Linked DNA regions of Alligator mississippiensis. The main gene of each other region encodes a partner of the protein of the gene in region 2 in a complex. Links are inferred from orthologs where the notes say so. Each region holds a gene or a part of one and is shown on either strand. Other genes may lie near its edges.

What was found.
Region 1: ARHGEF6 (region 2) and PAK1 share a complex: the UniProt entries of both Homo sapiens proteins name them as parts of the cytoplasmic complex. The link is inferred for Alligator mississippiensis from reciprocal best matches to the Homo sapiens genes ARHGEF6 and PAK1.
Region 3: ARHGEF6 (region 2) and DAB2IP share a complex: the UniProt entries of both Homo sapiens proteins name them as parts of the cytoplasmic complex. The link is inferred for Alligator mississippiensis from reciprocal best matches to the Homo sapiens genes ARHGEF6 and DAB2IP.
Region 4: ARHGEF6 (region 2) and DCP1A share a complex: the UniProt entries of both Homo sapiens proteins name them as parts of the cytoplasmic complex. The link is inferred for Alligator mississippiensis from reciprocal best matches to the Homo sapiens genes ARHGEF6 and DCP1A.

The regions. Positions count from the first base shown.
Region 1 is NC_081824.1:471,028,178-471,035,147, forward strand, and holds the start of PAK1 (serine/threonine-protein kinase PAK 1), read right to left. Parts: upstream 3,017-6,970; 5' UTR 2,913-3,016; intron 2,727-2,912; exon of another isoform or gene 2,447-2,726; intron 1-2,446. UniProt on the Homo sapiens protein: Protein kinase involved in intracellular signaling pathways downstream of integrins and receptor-type kinases that plays an important role in cytoskeleton dynamics, in cell adhesion, migration, proliferation, apoptosis, mitosis, and in vesicle-mediated transport processes.
Region 2 is NC_081831.1:79,759,095-79,766,644, reverse strand, and holds the start of ARHGEF6 (rho guanine nucleotide exchange factor 6), read right to left. Parts: upstream 3,013-7,550; 5' UTR 2,948-3,012; coding exon 2,783-2,947; intron 1,584-2,782; coding exon 1,500-1,583; intron 1-1,499. UniProt on the Homo sapiens protein: Acts as a RAC1 guanine nucleotide exchange factor (GEF).
Region 3 is NC_081835.1:64,551,257-64,559,172, reverse strand, and holds the start of DAB2IP (disabled homolog 2-interacting protein), read right to left. Parts: upstream 3,020-7,916; 5' UTR 2,682-3,019; coding exon 2,540-2,681; intron 1-2,539. UniProt on the Homo sapiens protein: Functions as a scaffold protein implicated in the regulation of a large spectrum of both general and specialized signaling pathways.
Region 4 is NC_081835.1:25,101,188-25,108,672, reverse strand, and holds the start of DCP1A (mRNA-decapping enzyme 1A), read right to left. Parts: upstream 3,018-7,485; 5' UTR 2,892-3,017; coding exon 2,757-2,891; intron 1,525-2,756; coding exon 1,484-1,524; intron 1-1,483. UniProt on the Homo sapiens protein: Necessary for the degradation of mRNAs, both in normal mRNA turnover and in nonsense-mediated mRNA decay. Removes the 7-methyl guanine cap structure from mRNA molecules, yielding a 5'-phosphorylated mRNA fragment and 7m-GDP.

The DNA.
Region 1 (6,970 bases), on a different chromosome or scaffold from region 2:
CTTATCAGATCTTATTAGAGATTTTTGCAAAAGAAATCACCTCCACCTTGAGTTCTGGTTCCTTTTCCCTCTAGACCAGGCCGGCTACAACCTGGAGACCTTTTCCCATCTTTAACTTGCCCTGAGCCTGATGAAGGGCGTGTGAGCCCAAAAGCTTGCAGAAAAAAGATCATTTTCTTTGCATTTTCTCACTTCGTGTAATAAAAGGTATCATCTCCGAACCAAGAGTTCTAGATTTTTGCATTTTTCCCCAATCTAGCTTCTTTTTTTTTTTTAAAGAAAGGTCAGCAATGCCACCAGCAACAGAAAGAACAGCTCAATGAAGTCTTTGCTATAGCCTTTGGGGGATTTGTTTTTTATGTCAACTACACTGATTTCTCAGCAGTGATTCATCCACGTAACTGGAGAAACTGGTCTTGCACTTAAGGCACTGAACTGGAACTCAAAAGACTCCCAGCTCTGCAACCAACCAACCTACTGTGTAAATTCAAGGAAGTCACTTCCTCTCTACAACTCAGGTTTCCCATCTGTTTAAAAAAAATACACCTTTCTCCCATCCTCTCTGGTCCTTTTAACCTTTGTACTCAGGGAACCCAACTACATATTGTTCTGCACAGCTGCTAGTCCAAACCACACCTCTCCTCCCAGGGCAGGTTGCAAGTGTTTACTGTTAATAACTTCAGATTAAGAAATAAAACTGGGTGAATTTACACTGTTGCCTCCTTTTGACCTGGTTTATTTTTTTTCTAGGTAGACACAAGACACACAGCACTGGCAGACAGGAGGAGACAGTTGTGTTAGCTTTTAAAACCAAAACCACCAGGCCTAATTCATCACTGTTTATTCCACTCTCCCACCCGTCTAACACCCTTGATTTCAGTGTTACATCAGCCCAGAAGCAGAGCGAGGGAGTGGTACGTCAGGTCCAAAGAGCACAGGCTGTATGAGAAAAGAAACCATCCAAGAAGGTTATTGTTTAACCTGCATGCCAGATTAGATGGAAAGATCAAAAAGGAGCTGGATAGCTTCAATAACCAAAACCAAAACATTTGGAGCTCCAGATCACACAATCAGTCCAAAACCTGGATGATTATCGTGAGCATATTGTAACAGGCCTGCAAAACCATGTGGGACACCACAGTGCCTCCCAAAAGAAAGCATTTCATCCAAACAACTTCTGCAACATGCACGTTCCCACCCCCAGAAAAAAAATGAGATAACATTTAAAAATAAAGGAACTTACAGTCCTACATGAACCACAAACCTCTGTGACTAAACTTGAGACCATTTCTCCTTCTCATGTCCTTCCTGGACACGCTCAGTTTAGACTGAGTTTTCTGGGACAAGGCCCAATGAGACCCAAACACAGGAGCCTGGCGGATGCCCAGTTGAGGGGCTGTTATCAGCTGTGGTGTGGTCACCAGGAACAAAAAATACACCATATGATATCAAGTAAATAGGAGGAATGGTTAATATCGTGACCCTTTGGGTCACATGGTTGGACTGCATTTAAAACAGATAAAAGTAAACATGCCAAAATGCATGTTCATCTAATGCAGTCAATTAATTGCAAGGAAAAATGTTCAGGCCCCTCGTGGTGTGGGAAATTCAAGTCTTTCGGTTCACATTTTCTCTCTTGCTACATTTTCCCCTCTTGCAATGTAACGTCACACACAATATTCACCAAGAAGGTATTTCAGCTGGTCAGCAAGCTGGCTACCGTCCTCATTCAGCAAGATTGGTTTCTTCCTCAAACTTATTTTTGGGGTTGATTTCAAAGTCATTTATAGGAGAGGTAGTTTTAGCATCCCACTTGCAATCTCTGGTCTCCCCACGGGGTTCAAACGTGCCAATTATCCACCTCGCTGTCACCCTCCATCCCTGAACTTCAGCATTTCTCGCCTTGTGTGGACAGAAGGCGAAGTTCTGTCTCAGTAAAAAGCAAAAGTAATCGATGCTGGAACGGCAGCGTTACGATTCTCCTGGTTTCCAGCTCCCTCCTCTGCAGGAAAATCATTCCTACTCCTACAAAGAACCGGCACCAAGCGAAGAGAGGATTATAACAAAGTCCTCTCAGGGGACCCAGGCTAAGATGAGCCCAAAGCCTCTTTCCGAGCCCAGCCATGAAAGGTAAGAATGAGTGGCCTCAGCTCCCAAAGTCACCACGGATCTGCTTTACCTTGCGGGCTGAGATCTAATACATCACAAAGCTCCCAAAGCATAAAAAAGACATTCAGAGTAAAGGCACACGCAAAGGATGGGACAGAGGCGAATGCTAATATGCAACCTTTTGAGTCCCAGGGAAAAGGACAAGACTTTCTTCCTCTTGTGCTCTGACTTGCTGAAAACCAGACGCACGCCTCTCCCCACAACACCCGCTCTTCTCTCACTGTTCAGCCATGGCTAAAACACACCCATTCCGCCTTATTACACCTGTAGGACCTACCTCTTCGGTCTGGCACTTGGGGAAGCCCGCTTGCCTCAGCTGAGACAAGGCAGCGGCTCTCAGCAGCACTGGGGTACCAGCCCCAGGTGGCAGGGTGGGATGAAGGATGCAAAAACCACCATTTGCACAGTCAGCGGATGGGGCCAGCTGGCACTGCCACGGGCACGGGCTGGGCTGCTACGCTTTTCAGCTCCTGGTGCGACCCCAGAGCTTTTTTTTTGGCTCGCTGCTTTTGCTTTTTTCGTTGACCGCGGAGCCGCGCGAGAGCAATTCTGCAGCTAAGGAACGTGCGAGCCGGGGCAGAGGTGCGGGTCGCGGCCGCAGGGGCGGGGGAGCGCCCGGCGCCGCGCAGGCGGATGCTGCGGGAGCATCGGGGCTGCGCGGGGAGAGCCGGAGGAGGCGGCTCCCAAACTTCAGCTCCTCCCGAGCCCCGGGGCTGCATGCGGGGAAGGGGACCGGCACTCACCTCCTGCTGCTGCCGCCGCTGCAAGGTGCTGCCCGGCCGCGGCTGCTTGCAGGCTCCGGCTCCGGCTCCGGCTCCAGCCCCTGGGCGAGCCGTGCCCGCCTCCCGCTCCGCCTCCGGGCCGCGGGGTGCGAGCTCCTCCCCGCAGCCCCGGGCGAAGGAGCCGGGCTGCGACCTCCCCGGCGCCCTGCCGCTCCTCCGCACACGGGCTGGGGCTTCCCCGGGACAGGAGGGACAGGGCAAGGGGCTGAGTGACCCCAAGGGATGCTCACTGCTTCTCCCACCAGGCACCGCAGCATGCCAAGGACCACCAGCCCACTCCAACGTGGGCAGCTCTTTGCCGCCTGGGCATGAGCCGCTTGTTGCCCCCCAGCTTCCCCTTTAGCCTGGACTCGGGCTTGGAGGACAGGGACGAGCGAGGGGGTTTGGGGCAGAGTTTGCTTGGCTCAGGGGTGGTGATGTTTGTTTGGCTGAAAATGCCTATAAGATGTCGGCGTGCCAGGGCAGGGAGCCGATGTTGTAGCAGGGCAGCCCCCAGACCCTTCCCTGCCGTCTGCCCTGAGATGAGCGTGCCAAGCAAAATGCCTTGCAGCCTGGCACCCGTGCTGGGGGCTGCCTACCCCTGCTGGAGGCTGCAAGGGAAGGGGTGGAAGAGCTGGGGTGAGGTGTTGGCGCTGGACAGAGCTTGCACCAAACAGATGGGGAGCACGGACAGCTCAGCTCGCTGCATGGGCAAAGCATAGGCAGGAGCCTGCGGCAGCCCAGCTGTGAGCTCGGAGGAGAGCAAGCTTGCCTGGCAGTGGAGATACCGTGCTGATAGTCCTGGCCCATATGTACCTGGCAGGGGAGATCCCCTTCTTCCTGGCCTTGAGCAACTTGGCGCTGTTGAGAGTGGAGACCCACCCATTGCACTGGGGTAGGCTCCCCTGCAAGAGTCTGCTAAGCCCTCCCAATGGGAAGATCTCAGCGACATAATTTATGGTGAAGGGGATTGCTCTTGGGCTTTCCCTCTAGCTTGCTCCTTTGGCCTTTTAGCTAGGGGCGAGCACATCAAGGGGCATCTGAATGCCAAGGCTTGGGGCTTGTACGTAGGACACCTACCATGGATTTGGGAGCATCTGAAGCCCCAGGGGCTGAAAAGTCTGGGAGGAAGGAGACTTGCCTGTGGTAGCACTGCACAGACTTGAACAATTGAGCTCTGCTCAACTGATTTGGCTGCTTTGGCCCGAGACACAAGATTAAAAAAGAAAAGGAGAACAATAAGGATACTCGATGGTATGAAGAAGCCAGGCCTGGTGCATTCAGAAAAGAGACGTTGGAGCGGGGACGTGAGGAGGGTTTACCAAATTCCAAACAGCAAAGAGGAAGTAAATAAGGATGCGTTCACTGTTGACTCTCTTGCAATACTAGAACCAGGGGTCACCACATAAGGTGAGTAGTTAATTTAAAACTAGCACAAGGAAGTTCTTTTTCACCCAGTGTCACGAAGGTGGGCAACTCATTGCTGCCGGATGCAGGGGAAGCCGACAGTTTGGCCAGGTTCAAAAAGGGATTGGACACGTTCTCGGAGGAAAGGGGCATCGGCAGCTATTGAGCATGGGAGTTAGGGGCACAGCCTCTGACCCCGAACTTCCTAGACCAGCGGTGCTCAATGTTTTTTGTTCAGTAGGCTAGATGGGAGCCTCCGTGGGCCAGATCTGGTGGTGTTGCAGTGGGGCCCTATCTCTCCATGTGAAGGGGCAGCTGGCTCCCCAGAGGAGCAAAGGGGGCTTGAGCTGGCCGCTCAGGGGCAGCAGGAGAGAGCGCATGGCCTGGACTTGATCCAGCCTAGGAAGGGGGAAGAGGGTGTGTTCCAGCCCCAATTTGCCACACAGGGCTTAGGGTCTGGGAATCTGGCAGAGGGGAGGAGCAGCCATATTAATTGTCACCACTCCCTTGCCGCCAGATCCCCCAACCTGTGGGGAGCCCTGTGGGCTGGATACCAGGCTCCATGGGTCAAACTTGGCCTGCCGGCCAGAGGTGGAACACCCCTGTCCTAGATCTGAAATGCTGGAGGCTGCAAGTGAGAGAGGACCAGTGTTCAGCCCCGGTTTGCTCTCCCTTTCAGCATCCGCTGTCTGCCCCTGTGTGACACAGGACACGGGGCAACTAGATGGCAGTTCTTATGTAGTGGTGCAGGCACGATTCACAAGATAAACCCAGAGATTTCAAATGGGGATCTCTAGTGTGAAAACCTTTCTGGCCTGCTGCATGCCCTCTGAGTTCTTTGCAAGGCAAGGGTTGCGCTAATATTTTTCTGTAGCTGAAAAACAAGTGACAGCTAAGAGCTGACATTTTCCAAGGGGTGCTTCGAGCCTATGGAGGGGGCCTCATGTCTGAACTGGGCTAGAGGGAGTCTGAGGGCAAAAAATTAGCACTTTCCAGAATTGATTGTTCTTTCCCACCTTGTTTGAACCCAGTGACCATCTGCCCTTAGACAGGGAGGCAGAGATTCAAGGGTGGTTCTGGTCTGAGAAGTAGCAGTGTGACTGGCACCTTATTCCAGGGCCCTGTTCCCATGGGCAAATCCTGTCAATAAAGGGGTGCAAATGGTCAGGTGCATCATCACATATAAAAGAGTGCATATTTTTCTCATGGTTTTGCCACCTAGCTGATCAGGAACAAGTAGCAAAGCTGCTGGGGTCCCTCTGCCAGTAAGTATGGGGAGGGGAGGAGTGTACGGCTGCCCCGTACGCTATCATGATGGGAGAGGCCACAGCGGCTGCTAATGGAGCAGCACTGGTGATAAATACCACAGGACTGAGAGGTTTGATGGAGAAACTCAGTGTAGATATGTCCTAGCTGATTTGTCTGAAGCCAAATGCAAAAGGAAGAATTGCATACACTAGGAATAACTTCTTCCTACACTTCCTCTAAAGCAGAAGTACTTTGGGGGAAAATGTATGAGAGTCCTAGTACTTGAAAAATATTTCTGGAACTAAGGTAGGGCTAAATTTGTCATTAAAATGATGCATCAGACAACATCTGTGACATGTCCTGATTTTTAAAAAACTTTTCTGACCTTTCTCTTGTGCATTTTCACAATTCTCTTCTCCCAATGGCTGTCCTTGCTTCTTTCACCTCCTGACTCCTGCAGGGATAACAGACAAATCTGGCAACCCAATTTCCCACAAATACACACATGTCTATTCTTGAATTGGGAACTATGCAAGGAGCAATGGTGCTATGACATTTTTATCAAGAGGAAGTGGCAACAGCATTTTACATCTTGGTATTTAGGCAGGCATTGGTAAGGACTGGGCATGGTATTATATACCCTGACCTTAAATGTCGAAAGAGCTGGGAAAACTGGAAGCACCTCATGCCCCCAGGAAAAGGGAATGAGCCACCTCAGCAGAATGGCTTCCTGCAAATGCTTTGCCTAAATGCTGAATTTAGGACACTAAATTCAGTGTCCTAACTCAGCAAGGTTTCATATAAGATCCCTGTTGCTTTGGCAGGAATGTGAGTGACCTCAACGCCAAAGACAGATTTCTTTTCTCCTTCCCCGTTTTCTTGTGAAGTGCCTGAGACAGATAACTCGGTTCTAATGAGACAGTTTACCAAGCAAGTCAATTCAACATGAACTGCTCCAAATTGATGTAGAGAGCATCTGTGCTGCATGGTGGCGACAATTTAGCGAAGGCAAGATCTATACTTAGTTCTTGTACCACTTGAACACTGCCTTAGTACAGAAGCAGTCATTCCGGTAAAAGATGCTTGTGCCTGTATAGCTTCGGAGAATAGCTGCATCCAAACTAGGAGGCTGTCCTACTTAATTATATCAGTTTCTAACAACTGTGGGAAGAGCAACCCTCACTCAACCTAGAAACGGATTTATTTCAACCTGTGCAATTCTTGCCAGTGCTAGTAGATCATGGCTAAGGAAATAAAAGGGGCACAAAGTCATTTCCCCCCTTTTCTTAGTTGCCTCTGAGAGACCACGTCAAAGTACTTCCAAATTTATAGACTATTATTCTATTCTATTCTTGCTATTATTAAGAGATTATAACAGATATAGC
Region 2 (7,550 bases):
CAGTGTTACCAAACCCTCTCAAGATCACGAGTTGCTTTCAAAAACCTCATGATTTTTCAGCCAAACAACACCTTCTGGGTTCTTTCCCCTTGCTTGATGGATGCTTTTGAGCCTGCAGCATTCATATGTTATTCGAGCTTTTTTCTCCCACATGCTAAAACTCTGATTTGTATTTTTTTTAAATGAGAGCTGAAACACCCCGGTCATCACACGACTCCAGCAGCTGGGGATTTCAAAGAAAATATCGACCGTCACCAAGAATCAGGATAAAAAAAAAAATCAGAACTGGCAAACGCTGCCTCCATGCCCCGATCAGGTTTCTTTTGGCTTCAACGAGCAAATATATTTGCTCTGAAAACTAAGCTGTTGCAGCCGGCAGCAGGTTTCCGGCACCAGATTGCTGGGAAACAACAGGTTGAGGAGACAGTTTTGGAAATAACAGAGCTGCCTGCTCGTCAGCTGAGTAAGGGCTTTGACAAGCAAACAACTCTCCTTACACAATGTAAAGCTTCAGGTGAAAAGCAGCAGCACCGGCTGGGTCTTCTCCTTTCCCCCTGGAGTCCACGATTCGTTCCCGGTAACAACTGTGGACGGTTATTGCCTGCACAGGAATTGAGCATTGCATTTTTTCCCCCCACCAAACCATTAGGAAGTCAGTGACGATTTTGAAAAACGACGGCTGCTTTCCGTGGGACGTTGCCGATGTGAAACACAACAGGGCTTTTCTTCATTAATGGCATTTTACACTAACTTGAGGGAGGCCGCGCAGCAGGAGCGAGCACACGCAGAACAGCTCCTGACTCATTTTCATACCCTGCGGCAGCTTGTTGTGTAAGAGCACACGCTAACACACAGTGTGCCTGCGTTTGGGCACAGGGACTGGCCTCGCTCGGTGACAGGAAGGCTTGGGGGTATACAAAGACCTCTTTCTTCTGTCCCTCCTCCCTTCCTTATGTCCTTTGGCAGGACTCGGGCTCTGTGTAAGAGTATGTGTGAGAGACGCAAATGTAGAAAGTTGCCCTACTGGGCTCACCCTTTGTGAAACGATCCTTTGCAAGGGAAGACACGGTATCAACCTACAACACTCCGACTGTTATCATCCGATGCAACTAGTTAACACGGGGCTGAAAACGGGGTGACCTCTCTCCCAACACTGAAAAAAATGATTCACCGGTCGGTCCAACCAGCTTACTAGCATGCATTAGGAAGACTGTCGTTATATTATTATACGTTCCTACTTCAGCGTTTTGCTTCGTGTCAGAGGCTTGAAGGGCAGTATGTTCAACTCCGAGGCATTATATATCCCATCGCTAAAACCTTGTGCAGAGTCCCTGTCCAGAATATTAAATGATCCAGGCTTTTATGCACGTTGCTAACGTAAGAGATTGACAGTAACTTCAGTTTCCTGGCACCTGGCCTCATTTAGGAATAATTACAAATCACACAATTAGTAGAGTGGGGAAAAAAAAAATATAATGGAGACTAATAGAATGACTTACCTCTACTTGCAGGACTGCACAGCTTTTCAAGAACTCCTGAATGTTTCCGATGCAATCCTCTTCATTTTTGGGCTCCAGACAATACTAAAGAAGCAAAACCCCCCACGGTTACTGTAGTACCTTCAGCGCGGTCTGCATGCTGGATGTTTGACATGTGTGTGATCTACGCCGAATTAGGGAAGCTTATTTAGGGGGAGGATGGGGGTGGCAGGCAAGCTGTCGAACCAGGAAGAAAGAGCCACTGGAGGAAGTGATGCATAAATCTAAATGGTCGGCATCTTGTTTTTGAATGTCAACATATGACAGTGCCCTAAGTGACAGCGAGAAGCTCATGACCTTTCAGAGCACGCTGCCCCAAAGCACCACGCATGCCATCAGAGGGGCACATCAGCCAACACAAGGGCCGCTTTCGAAATAAAAAGTTCCCGTTTTGTAAGGAGGAAGGAACATATTGTTTTTGAGCCTTTTACTAAACAGCCTTTTTTCTGCGTGGCCATTTCTTTAGCTCTGATCGGGATCCTTCCTCTTTTCCCCCTTGCAATTATTTGTTGCCGATTTAGACTGCCTGTTTATGTACCCAGGAAATGGATGTACTGATTAACAAGACATTTGAGACGGATTAACTCAATGTACTGAATTGGCTGAAAATGGCGGGGATGACAAGTGCTTTTATTTCTGTTCGAGTCTGGTTTTTTACCTGGTGGGGTACAGGAAAACAACACCACTGTGCTTCTTTACGTAGTTGCACAGCTGTATTTACCTAGTTGTATTTAAAGCTCAAGTATTCATCGTCTGCATTATTTACATTGTGCTTCTCGAGCAGGGTGCTGCAGCACCCCGGACTGCCATAAGATCCTTTGGAGGGTGCCAAGGGATGCTGGACAATATTAGCACCGTCAGATGTAATAAATGGAGTTTTTTAGGAAGATCGATCAAGCTAAAATGGACTTCTGGTAGATTAAACGTTTCCACTTTAAAAATGGAAGAGCCCACATAAGGCAACCGACTCGAGCGTAACTGCAAGTCACACGCACAATATTGTTGCCTGATTTTGCCCAACAGAATAACTTATCAGCCAATCAAAGACGATCATTGGGTCACAAGATAAAATACCCGAGTCCCTCTGAAACAGGCCTTCAACCCCAGAAAAGTAAAAGCCAAAATGCACGGCACCTCCTGCTAAAGTAGACCACTCCGGGTCCACCAAGACGGGTCCTGCAGCTGCGCTGCGCCGCTGCTGTAGTAGGAAGTGAGCAAGGGGTTATATGAGCGAGGTCGGTTACCTTTTCCACAGATCCCGGAAGAAGCCGATTACTCAACTTGCACAGCACGACCCCGTCTTTCAGGGAAGTTTTCAGGAATCCCTCTGGATCACTGATGATCTTTTTGGGGGAATTCAAAACTCCTAAGGAAATAAGCCATGTCACCGCTTGCTCTTCTGGGTTCATTGCTGACAATTCTGCCTCCAGTGCCGATCTTTTGTGCAGCAGTGAGGTCTAATCTAACCCACATCCGTGATTGCCTCTTCCTGCCTCTTCTGGGGCTTGCAGAGCTAAGGCTTGACACTTTTTTTTTATTTTGCATGGAAACCCACTGACTTCATGGCTTCCATACCAGATTAACCCCAGTTAAAGAAACATGCTGCGTCTTATAGTTTCTTGTACTTGGTGAGTTTGCTTAAATATACCGAAAGTAGATCTCTGCGTTACACATTTGCAGCATGGCAAGGCCTAAAGGTTCGATCTTGCTCTATTTACGTATTTCAACCACACCCATCAATGTATTATCTAAGTCAGTGGTTCTTAATTTCTCCAATATCCTTCTCTGAATTTAGCAACACCCCATGTCAGAAACTAATTTCACTTGTTTTTTAACTAATTGAAAAATAATACGGCAATTCTGCCACTGCAAAGAACTCAGAAAGACCGTGACAGGACAGGTTTTTGACCCTCTGGATTCTTATTTGAAGTCTCTGAGCTTATCTTGTATATCACGCAGGGATGTTTGATGTGTCGAACTGTGCTAATATTGTCCAGCATCCCCTGGCACCCTCCAAAGGATCGCATGGCACGCCAGGTGCTGCAGCACCCTGCTCGAGAAGCACAACCCTACTAAAGCGTGCAAGCGAGCAGCTCTGATGCATGTAACGACCCCTGGGACTAGTCTCACAAGTTGATACCAATGCAGCAGAACAGAATTAGACACGTGCTTAGGTCTGCGACCAACCAGAGCTATTGCTGGCACTTGAGAGGGAGAAAAACCAGAAAAAGGAAAAATCCTTGAAACTGTTTTACTTTTTCAACTTTGAAAATGTAACAAAAAGATTTCTAATATAGTTTAATACTAAAACTTTCATTTTCAAAATAATCTCTCGCTATATAGATATCAGTTTAGTCGCATTGTAAGATTTTTCCTTTCCAGATCCTGTATCATTTTTTTCAAATTTGACCATGAATAAAGGGGAAAAAAATGTTTTGTGGAAAAATTGTACAACAGTTAATAAGACAAAACTGCCTCATGACAGGTGTTCAAGAGGTTTCACCTAGCTCTTCAGGACACCGCTATATGAACCATAAAGACATACGGGTGTGAGATACTGCACTCAGTTCTGGATGACGATGTACGGTGTAATCACTCACTTATAAGCCAAGTGCAGACAGTTAGAAAGCCCGAGGCTGAATCGATGCAGCCGCTGCAGGTTAGTCTAAGCTGCATAGACTGGACTGATAAGTAAGTGAACAGACATGCACTTTTGATTCCTGAACTGCACCCACATGCCTGCACTGGCCCAGGCCAGAAGCTGGGGGGTGCTAGAGCACGCCTTCCTGCTTGGCTGGAGCAGATGCCAGGCCAAGGCTAGTCTGCCTACCCTGCAAGGTGGGGGGTTGAGGGGGAGATGCAAAGCATCCTGGGATGCTGGGGGACTGTAAATTAATTTGGTTCTGGGACAGAATTTAAATGAACCGGTTTAACCAAAATCAGTTCAGTCGGATGCTACACCCATCCGGGTTCATCTTAAACCGGTTTTGGCCGTTTTGAAAGTGGTTTACACGCACTGAATTTCTGTTTGTTGCACATCTGAATTGGTTTCCAATCACGTATACTGGTTTGTGTGTCATTTCTGTCCTAGCCTGTACAAAGAGCCCAACAGTGTAACTGCAGCTGTTATCACCCAAGACACTAATTTAGAAGCAGGCAGCTGGCCTTTCTTCTAATCTGTTCAAAACTGACCCATCTTGGCAGAGCTGAAACCCTAAATTACTTGCAGCAGCAAGCTCAGACTTCCGGATGATTGATAAGACATCTGGGGCAGTGGGGCTAGGAGCCAGCAAAGTTGCACAAGATAGTTGGGCCCGGGAACTCGGCTCCTTCCAATCAGTAACTCGACCCTCCACGTTGTATGTAACCCTGCTCTTCAGGAAGCAGGCCTCTGTAAAAATAGCTTTAGGTTACAGATTAGGAGCTGTAGGCCTATAGCTGGAGACGGGTATTTTCACATCATCACCTCTGGGGAACTATTCAGACATGGCTGAAAAATAACGGAGGACCCTACACAAAAATGTGGAGGCAGTTACATGAGCAGTTTTATGCGTGGAAGTTGTACTGTACCTCCTGGGTTGGCCGCGAGAACGCAGAAGCTGATCGTCAGACGGGGATGCTTACAGCTCAAGGGTTTAAACAGGCATTTACATACAGATGACATCAAGCAGATGCACTGGGCTATTTCCCTTCTCTGTCATTAGCTAAAGTGTTCTCAACTTCCCCCTGCTATTTAGGTGCTGCCCAAAGCCAGGACTAGGAAGCACCACTAAGAAACTCAAGGTTCCCATCCTGCAGTGACAAAGCTGCGCCCGCTTTTACATTTTTCAGGAAGGGCCGAGGTTTCCCCCAACACGTCCCCCATCTGCAACAGGCCTGTTATGATCATAGGAAAGTAAGGCTAGACGGGTCATCTAGTCCAGCCCCCTGCTCAGGACAGGGTCATCCTTGGCGAAACCATCCCAGTCAAGCGTTTGTCTAACCTGCTTTTGAAAATGTTCAGGGATGAAGATGTCACGGCCTCTCTGGCTGGCCTGTTTCAATGCAGGGTCACCAGGTTCTTCCTAATCTCCAACCTGAATGTCCTCTGCTGCAGCTTAAGGCCATTGCTCCTGGTCCTGTCCCCTACAGCCAGAGAACAGTCTGTCTCTACCCTCTGTAAAATCGCTCTTCAGGTACCTGAAGATTGCTATTAAATTCTCCAGACTAAATAACCCTCATTTTTTCAGCCTTCCCTCATGTTTCCCAAGCCCCTAATCATTTTTGGCACAGTCTGCTGGACTCTTTCCAGTCTGCTCACATCTTGCATGGGTCTCAAAATTGGGCACAGTACCCCAGGTAAGGCCTCCTCAGCACTGAGTGCAGCAGAAGGATCACTTCCCTTGATTTGCAAGTGACTCTCCTGTTAATATAACCCAGAATGCTGTTGGGTTTTTTTGCAACAAGGGCACACAAATTGCTCACATTCATCTTAGTGTCCACTGTAACCCCCAGGTCCTTCTCTACAGTGCTACAGTCCAGCTAGCCATTCCCGTCTGTACTTGGTGTGAAATAATTGCATGCACAAGTGCAGGATTTGGCACTTTTTGCTCAATTTCATTTGATTGATTCGTTCCTCCAATGTATCCAGGTCCTTCTGAATCCTAGCTCTGTGCTCCAAACGATTTGCAACTCCACCTAACTTGGGGTTGCTTGCAAATTTGGGAAAGGTGTATCCAATCCCATTATCCAAATTGTTAAGGGTGTTAATACCAGATGAACCCCTCTTGATAACCTCCTCCCCGCCAGAGCTGTTGATGACTGCTCACTGAATATCATAATCCAACCAGTTATGTATCCATCTTACAGTACTTTCAACTAGTCCATATTTCTTTAATTAACAAAAGTGTCATTAAAAAGTCTTGCTAAATAAAGTCGAGGGCTCTCCCACCCACAAAACGTCACCTTATCATAGAAGGAAATCAGGTTGGGTGGAGGAAGAGCAAGCCAAGCCAGCCTCCAGCTCTGAATGAGCACAACAGGAAGAGGCTGGAGAACAGCTGTCCAGCACTTCAAAGGCACCCCAACTGGGGTAGGCACAGCAGGAGACTCCCTTTTCACTGCGTGATCTTCCTTTAACAGAAGAAGCCTCATTTAATTGCTTACTGTGCTTTTTGCTCCCAAAGGGTATGCACCCTTGTGCTTTTAGGTATTATAGTTTTTAACAGCAGCAGCTCTAGAACCAGAAGCCAACACCTGTTGAGCACTCAGTAGGACAAGCCTCTCAGAGGACTTATGAGCTTCTAAGGTGCGACAAGCTGACCTTAAATCAGCTGCTCCTGGAAGTGTTTTAACCAACTGTACCTAATTAATTTGAGAAACAACTTGGTTTCTGTAGCCCACTGGTATAAGTGCTGCAGCAGAAGCATGCGATGACTTTATTGGCTTTGACTTTAGTTCAGATTCAAAGCAATAGATCACAACCGAGTCCATGCATTTTCGACTGTAATTTCTCACCACGTCTGCGTTGGCCAATGCACACACGGCGGTGTCAGAATTTCAGCTTTAGTCACAAGGCAGCTTCTGAAATCTAAGAGGAAAGTGGGAGGCAGTTCTTGTGATAAACGGATTGGGCTAGATCCCTCTCCTGAAGTGAGTAGAAAACAACAGATGCGTATTGGTTTTTAGTCATTTCAAAATCACTGGTGTGGCCGAGGCAAGTCCGTTACCTCTCAGCTTGTTGCAAGGGGCTCAAAGTTGGTTCTGGTGTTCAAGGCTAATCCTTGTAAGTGTAGGACCAGCCCATTTGAAAAAGGCAAGCTTAAGTTTAAGGGCTGAAAAGTAGCATAAAGAAATTCTAAAGCTATGTTTGAAGGACCCCAGCAGAAAGTTTAATTTCAAGGGTGTGAACATATGACACTTAAACTGCCCAGAATGGCACTGGCTGGGATTTGGCTCGCAGTTGGTAAGTGAGCACCAAAAAACTTTGGAGGTGCCTGGGCGTGGAGGACTCGGGGCTGGGGATGTCTGCAC
Region 3 (7,916 bases), on a different chromosome or scaffold from region 2:
TCCAGCTGCTGGCAAATCCCTCTTGCTGCATTGCATGGGACTGCAGCCAAATCCCTGGATGATGTGGTTAGTAAAGCACCAGCATCCTGCACAGCACGCCCATGGCTGGCTGAGCAGATCCTAGCTCAATCTTGCAGGATCTCTCTACAGTATTTATGAGTCTCTAATAGCCTCATATCACCTGAAGATACCTTCCCTTGGGGGTGATACCTGTGAGCCTGAGATACTCTATGTCACTGCTCAAGGCTAGGTTTGGTGCCACCGTGAAGTGCTTCACTCTATAATGTTCAAGCGCTGCTCGTCCACGCTTTACGAAACGTCATGGCCACCCGCGAGTCCTTCCAAGAGATCTTCGGGAACGTGGGTAGACCAGAGAACAGGGACCAAGTGCAACTTCATCAAGCGGCCTTCAGCTTATCAATGGGACCTCAAAGGCAACCAGTTCACCATGTCTGAAAACAAAACCCCCAGTACTAGAGTCGTGCCACTTCACACTGGTTAATGCTGCCTGAGCCCACATAGCTTCCAAATTCAGGCCAGATGAGCATACAAACCTCAGCACCTCATCCTTACTTGTGTGCGCTCCTTAGCCATGCTACAGCTCCCACCTTCATGAGGCTGCTTGTTCATTAACCTTCCAGTTAGGCCAGACATCTCAAGAAAGGTCCGTCTCATGGTTGTCCAGTACTGCCACTACTAGCCTCTCTAGGCTGCACACTGGGATACTGGGCCGAACCTGCTGCATTTTAATTTTAGTCACTTCTCACCTCCAGGCCTCTGTTTCTGCATCTCTTAAAATGGATGAGTCAAGAAGGATTTCTTACCCACTTTGCAAAGCACTCCAAGATCTACAGATGTGAAGAGCTACAAAAGTGCAATGGATTATTAAGATCGCACCGGTTAAAGCCACGAACCCCAGTAGCACCCCGCATAAAACCAGAAACATGGAGGAGGAAAAGTTATCTGTTATTTCCTGATCAGCAGCCAAAGGTTTTAGTCAGTTCAGCTCTGGTTTCTAATCAGCACTAGGGCAGATTTCAAACCAATCTGCCTGCATCTCCCTAGTATCTCCCAATCTGCCTAGCATCTCCCTAAATATTTCAGCCCGCATTTGAGGCAAATGGTGATGGTTAGTCCTTGGTGGGCTATTTATGGCAGCGAATGCTTCTCGCCTTTCCCAGTAACTGAAATGGCGGTGAAACGTTTTGGTTGTGAACGATTTACAAATAAAGCGGGGAAAAGGAACTGGTACGTGCTAACGAGTCTACAAACAAGCACCGCTCCCTGCCAGACAAAACAGGAATCGACCGTGGAAAGGAACACGCCATCTACTTAGAGGAAAAACTGAGCTAGTTTCCTTATAGTTTCCCGAATAATGATTCAAAACACTGAACGAGTTCTTCCAGGAGAAGAACCAGATGGGAGGAGACAGCAACCAAGCAAAAACTTTGGGGCCAAATTCTGCACTCGCCTTCACCGCTGTGAATCTGACTCGACTCCAGTGAGATCAGCGTAAAACCATTTTTAACACCAGCAGAATTGGGCCTTGGAGTTTGGGGTCAGTTATAAACTTCTTTTCACACAGCAACAACAAAAATCCCTTTTAAGGAACGGCTTTGAGTAATGCCCACCGAGAAGCCCGAGACCTTTTAAATATGCCTGACCTGGCACAGAAGAAGTCATGCACAGCCCTCCTCCTCTGCCTCCTGGAAAGGCATTTCAACAACAACATGACTCAGAGACAGAACAGGTCACTTCTTTTAGTGCTTTAACTTTAGGCACAAGCCGCAGTAAAGATTTATTCCACATGGGAAGAGAAAGCCAGAGCAGTTTATTTTTTTAAAAGCGTGGCTGGGTCATTAGCCGCCTGCAGTAGGATGAATGGACCGCTCGACTGCGTACATCCCAAAGACACATCACTCTCTGGACCCAGCTCCCACTACTGAGGAAAAGCATATTCTTTTAGAGTGAGATTTGCTAAAGCGCCCAGGTGACTTTGGGATATAAATCCTGGGAGCTTTCACTGCGACTTAGGAGACTGAGTCCTCAGACTCCTTGGGAAATTGCACGTTCAGAGGCACGCTGCGTCAAGGCCCCTGGAGGTGCTCCGTGGGGAAAGAAGAACAAATTCTAATAAGGGCTTTGCATTCAGATTGCATAGCTTATTCACCAAGCTCAAAGTGATTTAAAAACATCAATTAGATCTCAAACATCCCAGGGAGCTAGGAAGGCACTGTTACCTTCGTTTTACAGGTAGAGGAGCTGAGGGACAGGGAGTGGAAAGGACTGGATGTCAATGTAGGGAATAAAACCTCCGAGTCCTGACTCCTAGACCCACGTCCTTATTGTTACCTCCACTCCTGGCCCACAACACTGCCCAGGCAACTCACCTGTCCCAAAGATCACTGTCAACTCTGCAGCGTGCAGGTACACCTATGAGCACTTGCACCGGTCATTACCTCTAGCAGCAGACCTGGCTGGTAAGCAACAGAAAGCATGTCTTAGCACTTTAATTAGATGGAAGTTTGATTGCAATTACCCCGGCTAAGTGGCCTGTTCCGGCTCCGGGATCTGCTACGCTGTCTCTGAAGTCGTGACCTCCGAAGCAGTCGGTAGTAGTAGGATGGTCTCCCAGAACTTTTCCTGCTGTTCACTGACATTTTTGTATTGATTTCACACATAGACACATGCACGCGCGTGCTCAATCTCCCACTCTGACGCAGCGGCAGCACTTCCAGCGTTTATTGGAGTGGAAAGAGGGGGGGAAATAGGAACTCTCCAATTTAGACATTTAAAATAAAATGAAAAGGAATAAAAAAAACCCTCCGCCAACAAAAACCTGGCATGGAGTGCACTGTCTGAGCAGGGAAAAAACTCGCAGCCAGCAAGATAAACTGTACTAACAACTCCTGCCCCCAAAAAGATAAGCCTGTTGGAATTGGAAAAGGAAGCCTGAGTTGGCCTGGCCTCTTGAAAAGTGAAGAAAAGGCTGGACAAAATCCTGGACTGGATTGCCTCCACGGGACGGCCACATCTGATCAAACTGCACTGGAAAAATCAGATGGTTTCCTGGAGGAGGGGGAGGGAAGGGAAAGGGGCTGCACTGCCCTGGGTGCTAGCATGCTTGCACGTGCCCCTGGCTAGCTGATCTTTGCAAAGATGAAGTTTAAGGCAGCTCTGTTTGCAACAAAAGGTGCCTAGGTCTTTATGAAAGAGGGGCTCGAGGAAGGGTGTAATGAGTTCCTTGCCATGGGACACATGTTAATCATCAAGAAGCAAAAGCCCCGGAAAATGAAGTGAAACTTGAGAGGGGAAAACTTTAATTAGAACTTGACTGAACGGAGCTCTAGACTCCCCTGGAGGCCCTTTTCCTTTCAACATTGAAACTGAATTATAGCACATCACACGAGATAAAGAAAGGAGCCTATTTACCACTCGGATTCTGACTGCACGGGGGAGTCCGCCTGTGGCTCCTAGGGCTCAATAGCATTACATTTGAATGGGCACTATTAATGTTTCAAACCATGGAGAGAGGAAGAAAAAAAACCCATGCCAACTAGCTGTACTCCCTGCATCTCCCATTTCAAAAGCGGAGCTTAGAAGCGACTTACCTAGTCCTTCGTCCAGGCTGTCACAGCATCCAGCAGAGACGAAGACGTGCCTTTGGTCACGGGCATGGACATACCCCGAGAGAAGAGGAATGGCGGTCAAGGAGCAAGTGCATTAGCTGTTCTCACCGAGGAGTCAGTGTTGGCATCCCAAGATCATGAAAAACCATGAGAACTCGACAGGGGATGAGCTGCCCAAGTGTGGCATTTGCACAGCGCCTGCCTGCACTGGCCCAGCCTCACCTGGTCTGGGTACCAAATTGATCTGCTAGAAGGTCGGGGACAGAAGAGGCTTGGAGACAGAGCCCTGCTATTTGCCCCATAAGCTTTCACCCCTGGGGTAACCTGAAAGCTTTCCCCGCTGCTGCCTGTGCTGTACCTTTCCTGGGAATAAGCAGAAACTGTGGGTTTCCAGGGCTCCCAATCCAACACCTCTGACTGGTGCTACATTCACTTCAAGAAAACAAAGAACGTCTTTAATGCCACTATTCTCCAACCATCTGGGTTGGCCTAATAAAAAATATCAAATTCACCCAAGGAACCGTGTCTGTCTTTAATGCCACCGTGCAGTCTCCCAGCCACCACTGCACTCCAGTCTCACATCTCAAGATGCCCAGGTCAAGCTGGTCAGGGGATACATTAAGATTTGATATAATTTAGAGCTTCTGATCAAAATACTGAGAAATGAAACGTTTAATTTCTCTGCTAAGAAAGCCCAGCCCATTACAAAAAGCGAGTCTCAGTCATTACAGAAGTCCAGGCCTGGTTTTGAGGCCTTGCATGAGGAATTCTGCACTAACTTTTCGACAGCGCAGGAATGAACCAATCAACATGGCAATGACAAGTTCAGGTCAAGTAGGCAAGATCACAGCTGGACAACAGAGGACTCTTATTGCATCTTACTGAGGGGGAGAGGTTACCGAGTGACTTTCCACTGCCTGCTTTCCACCCAGCTGCACCGTCACTGCCCGAATTCACACAGCAAACTGGGACAAAGAGGGATGAGCCGCAGTTGCTATATTTTAACCACCTAACATTACACAGGAGAGAATTTTTTCACCATTCAAATAGGTTAGAAGGGACCAAATAAATTAACTTTAAAACATTTTCCAGAAGAACTCAGACTCATCTTGACTCATATGTTATCCATTCACAAGAAGTGATATGCATACGATAGGAAAATCCCAAGCTATCTGGACTTCAGCTGGCAGATCTGACTGTTCAGATATTTCCCTCAGGCTTTGTGCCCTAGATGATGAGCTGGGAACCTCCTAAGAAGGATGGCCTTGCAGGATGAATGGGAGCTACTGGCTTGTGTCAAGCAAGAAATGCCTTGGGAGCAGTTGTTCCCAATAGCATCTCATCTCGTTCTCCCAGTGGCATTCCCCATAACCCCAACACACAAATGGACACAAAAGCATAAACAAATGATTTGAAAGGTTCGTCCAAATTCAGAGGTTTGAGAAACATGAAGTTACCAAGCCTGCTTTTGTTTAATCAGAACTACTTAACTCAGTGACCGTCCATCTGGGATGGAGTGAGAGAGACGGACATTTAGTGCTCTGTGAGCAGGTGGAAACGATCAGGAGGTGTGTGCTGATGGGTCTGCAGCCATCATGCATTTATTCAAGTGCACTTAAGCATCTGTTCTATATTTACCCTTTTTTTTTTTCCTTTTTTACCATCAGAGGTACCTTCAGAGATGGCCATGCAGATGACCATAAAACAGGACGAGTTAATGAAGGGCTATAGAGTACAATGACAAGAGAAGGGAGCCCTACAGTAAGAGCACAAATAAGTGGGAGTCCTGTTAGAGTTTTGCTAGACTGCCTCTGTCTTTCTTGCTCACTTTGATGATTGCTTGACGGCAGAAAGTTCAGATACTGCATAGGAGTAGGCAACAAGAAATGACCCACCTGGGAGGTAACTTGGCTGCTTTGGACCTTTCCAATTAAACAAGAGATGCTTCTTCCTCACGCCCATTTTGAAAGCCACCTCCCAACACCATTTCTTTTCTGTGCAGATGAATCTGGTGCTTGCAAAAACAGCTAGATTAACAACCCTAAAGAAAGATGCCTACATCCAAAATGGTCTCTATGCAAAACCAGTTAGGTAGTGGCCATACAAGACTTCCTACCACAGCCCTGCCAATGTGACCTACTCATTCCTCCAAAAAAGAGGAGCTGAGGCTTCATGGGCTCACTGCCAGATCTCACGATGGGCCGGCAGAAGTCCCCTGAATAGAGAGCTGACCCATGACACAGAGGTCACTTCAGAGCCACCGATAAGCAGTGTCATCTGCAACGAGGGTAGGGTCTACACTATTTAAATTTAGAGCAGATTGAAGCTGTCCTGCCTTGCAGGATATGGCATTTGTCACACGGGCCTGCTGCACTTTCTACACCACTGTAAGCTGGATTTATTCCATTCCTTTGCTAAGACCTTACAGGAGCTGCAGAAGTGTGGGGTCAGCAACAACAGTCCGCACTGGAGACAGAGGCATAAATGCTGGCTTGTTTGCTTTGACATCAAGAGCAGCGCGCACTTGCCTGAGGGTTGTCTCAGCTACAGAGATGCTGTTACGTCCATCTCTGGTGACAGAAGATGCTTCTCTCCAGTTTTACTCCTTTTTCTCAATCTTTTTTTTTTTTTTTTTTTTTTACTTATAGTTTGCTACCTGAAAAATAACCACTGGTCTTCAGCACGCCCATTCCCCAGCCTCTTCAGTCATCAGTCTTCCTCCTTTCTCAAAGGGCTGTAGAAGAAAACCATCACCTCTTGCAGCCGTCTCTGCTTCTGTGGAAGGGGACTCACAATCTTCATTCTCATTCTTTATTCACAGTGCACAGCCGCTGCCACCGTCATGACTGCAGGGACCCCAACAGGACAGGGTATGACAGTCTGTCACTTCACATCCCCAGTTCGTGTGACACCTCTACTTGCCTACAAGTCTAATGTCAGTGATAGTCCAGTTTCTTTTGGATTCAGGCCCCCGTTCACCAGGAACTGAACTGAGAACTGCCTACATCATTTTGCCTGGGATAGAAGAGAGCATCCATGAGGGGGCAAGGTCAGTCTTCCCATCTGTGCTGAACCAATGAAATTGAAAAGGAAAGTTTCCAAAAAAGCCCCCAAATACACACACACACACACACACACACACACACACACACACACACACGTATATAAAATGTAAATGTTTGCAAATGCAGTCCCCTCTGGGGTGAAACGCAGCGTGTTCCAGAGCTGCACAACACAACTGCACCGAGGTGCAGAAAAGGAAGTCAGAAATAAACTTTGACTTCAAATTTAGAGCTAAAATGCAATGCTTAATGTTTATAATAACTGGGCTGTACTACTGAGAGCCCAGGATAGATGCTTGCTGTCTGTATGCTGATAAAACTCAAATGTGAGTGGGGGAAAATAGTAATTATTTATGTTAGATGCATGGAAAATAGTAAAGAAAAGCAGTGGGGTAGGAAGGCAAAGGGGAGGGACTTGGGTCTGAGAACATAAACATGGAAGAGAAGTCTTGGAAATCTTACAAGAATAAAATGACTCTTCCTACATAGCTGCTCCCTACAGAGATGTATTATTATTAATTATTATGGTTGTTGCTGTTATTGTGGGGTCCCACAAGACCAACATCCCGTTGCGCTGGGTGCTGCACACACACACAGTAAAAGGTCTGGCCTGTAGAGTTTGCCATCTAATGAAGACGACAGGCACTTTGTGGGAGCTAAGAATCACCCCTGTTTCAGAAGTGAAGCACACAGTGACTTGCTCCAGGTCAGGATGGGAATCGGAGGCCGTGCTGGGAACAAAACCCAGACCCTGGGGGACACTGTCCAGAGCCTCAGCCAGCCTTCCTCTCTGGACAAGCAGGGGTGCTGTCAGATACGGGCTGACAGGTGTTCTTGCATACATCAGTGTGACTTAACAACGTACCACCCCACTGTCCAGATGGGTTTAAAACTAACATTTCCCACTGAAGTGCCTAAAGTCAGGCACTCAAGTGCCTCAGTTTCCGCCCAGAGCTTCTACTGACTTTGAACAGTCGAAGAATGTGGGAGTCACATGAAAAAGCAAGTCAGGAGGCTCCACAGGGCAGCTGGCATCCCCATTTCTTGTGCTGCCTCATCTAACCACTAACCAACCTGCCTCTCCATCAGCACGATAATTTTTTTGGACCATAGCTTACAGGTTTGTGTGTGCAACACGCTTCCTCCCCAGGGCAGGAGCTCAGTCCAGGCGGCAGACTGACTCCCAGGACGGAGACTGCAGTAGGTAAACACAAGGGCAGACAAA
Region 4 (7,485 bases), on a different chromosome or scaffold from region 2:
TAATGGTCCCCTTCATCAAGGGGGGGCTTATACCTCTACTTGGTGGGCTCTGGCCCCTGTTGCAGAATGTCACATCAAAAGGCCCAATGTTTTCAAGTCAAATTTACCCCTACCTTAAACAGGTACAGTTCCATTAAAATCTAGAATAAGAGTTCAGAGCAGACCTGTAAAGGGAGAGTTCTTCCTTCTGAATTACTTTTCCCCTAACCCCGAGTATAGTTCCTTAAAAAAAAACAAAACAAAAAAAACAAAAAAAACCTAAAGAAAAACTGCTTTAACAAATAGTATAAAAGATATTCTGTGTAAGATTTGCTCTGGACTCAAATTTGAAAACAAAACCAATCAATCAATCTCAAGACAAAGGCTGTATCTTTGTCCCCTTAAAATTCTTAATCACATGAACACTATAAGCATGCTTAGCCATGCCGTTAAAACGTACTGTACAAGTAACACTGTAGCACTAGGACGGCTCTTTTTTTTTTGTCATGTTATGGGGCATTCGGGGGGGGGGGGGGAGGAGAGGGAGGCAGGTTGGGAATCAAGCGTAAATCTACTCTATTCTTATCAGATGTGATTAACTGTTTGAAAGGTTAACCTTTCAACAGCACCATGGCCACATCCTGTTAAAGTTTAAGAAAGTGAAATGCAAACTTTCCTGAGAGGGCCAAACATGCTAATCTCAAGATTTAAATATACACAGTACTTATTTTACTATCATGAATAGCTTCAAATAAAATATTTAGACCTGCAACCAGTAGTAAAAAATTATTCAATTTGCTTGAGTGCTCATAGTATTGGGATGCAAGTGAAGTCCATGAAAACTAAGTATATAAACCACTTGACCACGTGATTATCAAATAAAATACTAAATGGTGGCTGTCTCTCAGGAAGGGTGGATTCATTCCCATTTCTTACATACAATGGAACAATGAAAGGCTGCAAACTTACTGATTTGCTTTTGGGGTAGGTCTAAATCATTGGTTATATTTACATTAACTCTTACTAAAAAGAAGTATTTGGCCATGTTGCTCAAGGTCACTCAATAACCTCATCAAAAACACCCAAAACTGTTCATACATAAACTAGCGGCTTTTAAATTGTATGGACTTAAAAATTATATAAATTATGCTAACGTTTATCATCTGGAATTTCTGAACTACAAGAAGGGGAGAAAGCCTCATCAATTGAGTCACTTACGGCACAGAAGAATATACTAGTTAGTGAATGATCATGCACTACCAAAATAGCCCAATTAAAATTTTCCACTTCTATGTAATTGTGTGTCAAGACTGCTCCTGAAAAATCTTCTGTTCTTTTTGTAGGAATTGTGCTTAGGTGCTACATTTCTTTTTTGAAAAAGAATTAGCTGGAGATTATTTTTTTCTGGACAACAGAAACCAGTATAGCTGGAAAGTTAAACATGACTGAAGATCAACAAAACAGTTATATACAAAAAAATATATTTTTACATAAAATACCTTACCTTCTGTATACGAACAAGGTACCTTCTATGTCAGTCTTCTCCTACAACAGACAGCAATGATTTATTTCAACTATATGTCTGCTTACAGAGTTACGCAGCTTGCTGACTAAAATCATGATAAACTGATTCCACCTTCTCAAAAGGGACAGAGTATAATTCTCTTGCATTTCACATATCTGCCTAAAACTATTAGGCAACATGTGGTTATATACATCATTTGGCCTGCATGAACAATATTATTCCCTTGTTAGTAATAAGTAGTATCCTGCAATTCCCTCGTGTGCAAACCAAACGGGCAAAGGAAAAATTCAGAGTTTTCCTTGGAAATCCCATTTTAGGGCAGACAAGGATACATTTAACTCCACAAACAACCAGAAGAATACACACTGTCTTGTAAGAAGACCTAAATGACAATTCGCACATAACTGCTGTCAAGTCAGCATACCGTTTGTTCTCTCCTAGTCATTCACAGATATCTCGTTCTACTCATTCATCACGACTTTGCTTTAAACCAGGGATAGGAAACCCCCAATGCGTGCCAGAGTGTAGCACGTGAAGGCATTTTGCTTGGCACGCGTGCTTGTGGGCAAAGGGGCCAGGTGTGCACAGCCACAACAAGGACTGGGCCCCGGGCGGCGCCCACACTCTCCCTCCCTGGCACACCAACATCTCACCAACCGAGGTTACAGGTGTTTGGGGCACTTTGCCCAAAAACGCTGCTGACCCCTGCTTTAAACACTAAAAGTTAATTAAAAGAAAACCTCACTGTGGCCCCCCCCCCCCCCGCAAAAGAAGGGCTTTCACAAGAGCCTGTTCCTAACTGAGCACTCGTGTGTATGAAGCTACACTTGCTTCAGCGGAGGTGGGCAGGGGCGGGTGGGGGTCTGGAAAGGAAGAGGCACAAGCCCGCCAGCTCCAGCCTCTAACTGTGAACCTCTGTAACTTCAGCAGAAACTCTGAGCGCCAGCTCACATCGCTCATTTCTGCTCGGGAAACGCAGAGGGCACCGAGAGTTTCTCCTCTCCACCTTCCTGGGGGGAGCGCCTGCCCCCGCGGAGACACGCGTCTCCAACGCCTTCCCCCGGCCACCAGCCCCGCGGCTGTCAGCAGCGGCCGCTGCACGGGCAGGCGGCGCCGGCACTCGAGGAAAAGGCTGTTTCCCTCGAGACGAAGGTCCCCGCCTCGTGGGCCCGGGGGAGCCGCCGGAGCCCCAGGCTGCTGGCGCAGGGCCCCGCGCAGGACGGGCACGACGCGGCCCCGGGCCCGCACGTACCCACTCGTTGGCCTTGGGGCTGAAGCTGTAGAGCGCGACCTGGCCCGTGACGTCGGCGATGCTGGTGATGTAGGGGTCGTGCTGCTTTAAGGCCGCCAGGCTCATCTCCTGCCCCGCTCGGCTCAGCGCCTCCATCTTGGATCGCGGGAGGAGCCGCGGGCGGCGGCGAGACCTGAGCGCGGAGCCACCGCGCAGCCGTCCGCCGCGCGCGCGCCCCGCGCCTTCCGTTCCGCCCAGCTTCGTTCCGCCCGGCCCCTCGGGCTGCTTCACGGCCAGCCCGGGGCCTGTCCCGCGGGAATTAGAGCCCGGCCCGGGGGGTGAACATGTCCACACCGGGACTCAGTCGTGTTGAACGCGGTGCTTCTTCGTGAGCAGGATCTGGTGGGCAGCGAGGAGGAGCCCGGAGATGCGAGGGCAAAGGGCTCCTGCCACCTCCTTGGCCAAGGGCCGAGCTCGTTCCTAAGGGACGAGGAAGGGGAGCCCTGCGCCACTACGGATTTAAACAACCCGTGTAGCATCTCCCCAGGTTGTCGCAGCACCGCACCAGGTATTCGCCAGGTGGTATTCAGTTGTCCCCTCGCCGCTTTCATTTTCTCCTCTCATAAAATCGGAGTTCAGTAAATCTCTCTTTTTTCTGCCTTTTTTAAAAGAAGCTCGCAAACTAGTAAGTGCTTGCAAAGCGAGGGATTTTGAGACGTGGTCTGGGGTCTGTTCGACAGTACAGGAGTCTGCTCCTGTGCAGTAAAATCCCAATTCGTTCATGTTTTGCTTTCTGAAGGTAAAAGTTGATTCATGTTTTCCGTTAGCAATAGCCTAACTCCGGTTCGTTTCTTTACTTTCCCCCAGGATCCTCGTATGCGTTGGCATCTTATCCTTATTACTGTTATGAGCTGAGATGCTGCCCATGAGCGACAAGCTACCTCTGTCCCACTTACACCACCTGGGTATTGAACACAATCTACCTTTCTGGTCACATAACTGATTATTGCTGCTAAAGTCATTGCCGAGTGGACTTCCCTATTACACAGCTTGTATTACATTAGATCAAATATAGTTGTTTAATAGGACTTGGTCTATCTGGGTGGGTATTGAACATTTTGGACACTTTTTTTTTTTTACAATATTGAATATTAGAAAAAATATACTAACAGATGGAGCTTTCTCTCAGATTCCAGCTCCACCAAAAATCTCTCGTAGTACCAGCAGCACTACAGACTCTGTTGGGTTTCCCTGCAGTGACACTTTTGTCTGTCCAGCAGGATCTGTTGTGGCTCCAGCAAGGAGGGGTTTTCCTCTTCAAGGTTAATTGCTTTCCAACTGGTGCACAGCCAATATGGAGATGTGAGGGTGAAGGAGGCAGCAGGTAGGTGCCCCAGGGCCATGTCAACAGCAAAGTGAATGGACAGAATGAGGGCACAGCAGGTGAAGTCCTCTTTATTCTGCCCTCAGACTCTTCCCTGGAGCTTGTTCTACTGAAGAGATGTGCAGGTCATCCTGTCAGTCTTTCCTTCTCATGCTACCATGGATAAAATCATCCGTCTCACTGAACCGTGTTGAAATAAAAGCTGTTGTAACTATTTGTACTAAAATACGCTATTGTTTTAATTAATATTTGCCATATGTAGACAGTGCCTCTAGCAGACACAAAACTGGAGCCTCACCTGATTTACCTTCAGTAAAATTGTGCCAGATGAATACCACTGGTTCATAGGAAAATGTTTACCAGTAGTTGGTCTCCACTCATTGGTGACACGTAGGGGGTACACGTGTGTCCCCTGAGATTGGCGGTGCGTCCCCTGAGATTGGCGGTACACCCCCTGACAGAATTAGTGTACTGTGCATTAGCATCACTAAAAAGGTGTGCACTGGCACTACAGCGCAGTAGCACCAGTTACTGTGTATTCAGTTAGTACCTGTTATTACAGGTACTACACTTAATGTGCCTTACCTATGGCACATTAATGCACATGTAGATGTGCCCAATCTTCTCTTCTCTAAACAAAATAAGCCCAGTTCCCTCAGTCTCTTCTCATAAGTCATGTACCCCAGCCCCCTCACCCTTCTTGTTGCCCTCCACTAGACTCTCTCCAATTTGTCTGTACTCTTTCTGTAATGGGGGGCCCAAAACCGGACACAGTAAACTCCAGATGTGGCCTCACCAGTGTTGGATAGAGGGGAAGAATCACTTCCCTTGGTTTGCTGGCAACACCTACCAATGCAGCCCAGTATGGCATTAGCCTTCTTGGCAACAAGGGCACACTGTTGGCTGTAACTCCCAGGTCCTTTTCTGTAGTGTTTGCCTACCTGAACAAGAAACTTCTCTCTCCAGATGCTCCAGGAGTCTTATATTTCTCAAAAAGGGTAAGTGAAAGTCAGTGGCTTGTTGAAGGGACAGGCAGCATGACAAGAACAGGCTCATCCATCCAAGAACCACAGTATTCTTTCTTCATCCTTTTTATTAGCTGGCACAGTGTAGGTCTAAGTGCAGTAACTTCAATAGGAGCTTCCCATGTCCATCCAGTGGTACCTATGATGAGATAAAATGTTGAATGAGAAATGCAAGTATGAAAAAGCAAAAATATTTGAAAAATTACAGTAGAACGTGAATTATCCACACACTGTTTATCTAACTGCATGCTGTGCTGCCAACCTCTGGTGCATGGTACAAGTGAGAATAATGGCATTGAATAGAAAGAGAACTGTTTTAATGACAGGAAAAACTGAAATAATCCACAAACTGGAAAAGGCAATTCTGATGCCAGGCTTGCTTCAGAGAATGGCACTGGTGTGTGTTCATTTAGTGTGTTTCATTAGCCAAACAACTGGATTTTATGAACAATGTTTGGGTCCAATTAGTTTGGATAATTGACTCTCCTTTGTATTTTAAAAGGAAGTTAATAAGTCTTTTATTTGAGACTGAAAGAAAGAGAAACACCATTCCAAAATCCTTTTAGATTTTGCATCTAAACAGTGTTTCTAATAGCTGCACTAAACAGGCTCTTGTTTTTCACAACAGGCTCAAATAAACCTCTAAAACAAATGTATCTTTTAGATAAATGTAATGAACTGATCTTGAAAAGGGGCAGGTTTCTGCTGTGTCAGATCTTGTCAAATGTGAAAGTTCCTTTGCTGCATTTTGAATTGAAAGCAAAATGTGAAGAGATAACAAAACCAAGTGCCAGTTTCTGTTAATGACTTCTTTTCCTCCTCCATCCTCTAATTCCAGTTCCACTGTCAGAGAGTTTGTTTTCCTTGTTCACTGCTGCTGATTCATTATTTCAGAAATAAATGGTATGGCCTCCCATATGCCTCCTGACCCCTGAAGTATACAGCATGCGGGTAGCCTCAAACTTTGACATTTGCGTGAATGAAATGTTAGTTTTCTTGTGCTAGGCTTGCTCAGTGACTGATGTGTATTGCAAATGCCTTTTGTTTTCTCTTGCATTTTGAAGCAGTTAGTGTAGGGAAAATGTTCGCTTCTCGTATACTTCTGGTTCGTGCAGTAAGACACTCCTGTTGAAGTGGTACAGTGTTTACAATGACCTTTTGATATTTTCAGTTTAAGTTAGACAGACTTCATTTGTGCTTCAACAAATTAAGTGAGTTACATTCTGCATTTCAGTTATTCAGTAGTGGTTTTATAGTACAGAAGAACACTGAGTGCTACATTGTATGTACTCTACATACATTAACATTAAAACAGGCCAAGTGGTAGTGATTCATCTCTTCCATCAATGGCTTGCTGTTGTCAGGGGAGGCTTTCTCCATTGTTTGCCTACTTACCTATCTGGAGCTCATTCTATGTAGTTTTACTTCTACCTGCCCCCACCCTTGTCACTACCTTTTCCAGAACAGATTATTTAAATAGCTTCCAAAGTTTTTTGCTTGTCTGGCAACTCCACTTCAGAGTTCAGGTAGGAAGAACATTCTTCAGTTTGTAGTCGTTTTGGGCACCTATACATGTGATGAAGCTCTGCTCCGATGCATGTTAATTAGCACATATTGGAGCAGACTCCATTAATTGAGTCTGTTGCGAGTCTGCTGGAGCGTGCTAATTAGCACGCTCCAGCAGCCTCCGCGTCAGGTGTAGTCAGCGTCCCTGTATTTCAAAGTTATGGCAGGGGCACTTTAAATCTCGTTGAACAAGCTTTAGTTAAATTGTCTTTGCTGCCATTTTGAAGCGTGAGCATTGAATACACAGATGCTGAAGGCACTTTAATTAGAGCGGATCTCAGAGACGCTCTAATTAAAGCACCTTTCCCCCCACCCCAGAGCACTTGTATAGATGCCCTTTAATATTTCCCCTGGCTGACTGAGTAGCAGCAGCAAAGAATTCAGTGTTTTTGTTAAGATGTTAGAGAAACTAACTGAGCACACCCAGTAAAATCTCATGTCATGCTTAAAAGCCTCACTGCTCTATGTAGGATATGAAAAGTAAATGGGGCTAGATCAGGGGTGGGCAATTATTTTGGGCAGAGGGCCGCTTACTGAGTTTCGGCAAGCCATCGAGGGCCGCATGACAAGCAGCCCAGGGCAGATTAATATTAATTTTCTAAATTTTTTAGGGGCCCCACGGACTGGATAGAATGGCCTGGTGGGCTGCATCTGGCCTCTGGGTCACATTTTGCCTGCCCCTGGACTAGATAGTGGCAAGTAAAATGGAACCAGCAATCGCAGAGACAAATTTGAATGACAGGTAGTGAATGTTCTCCACTTTTCTATCTGAAAT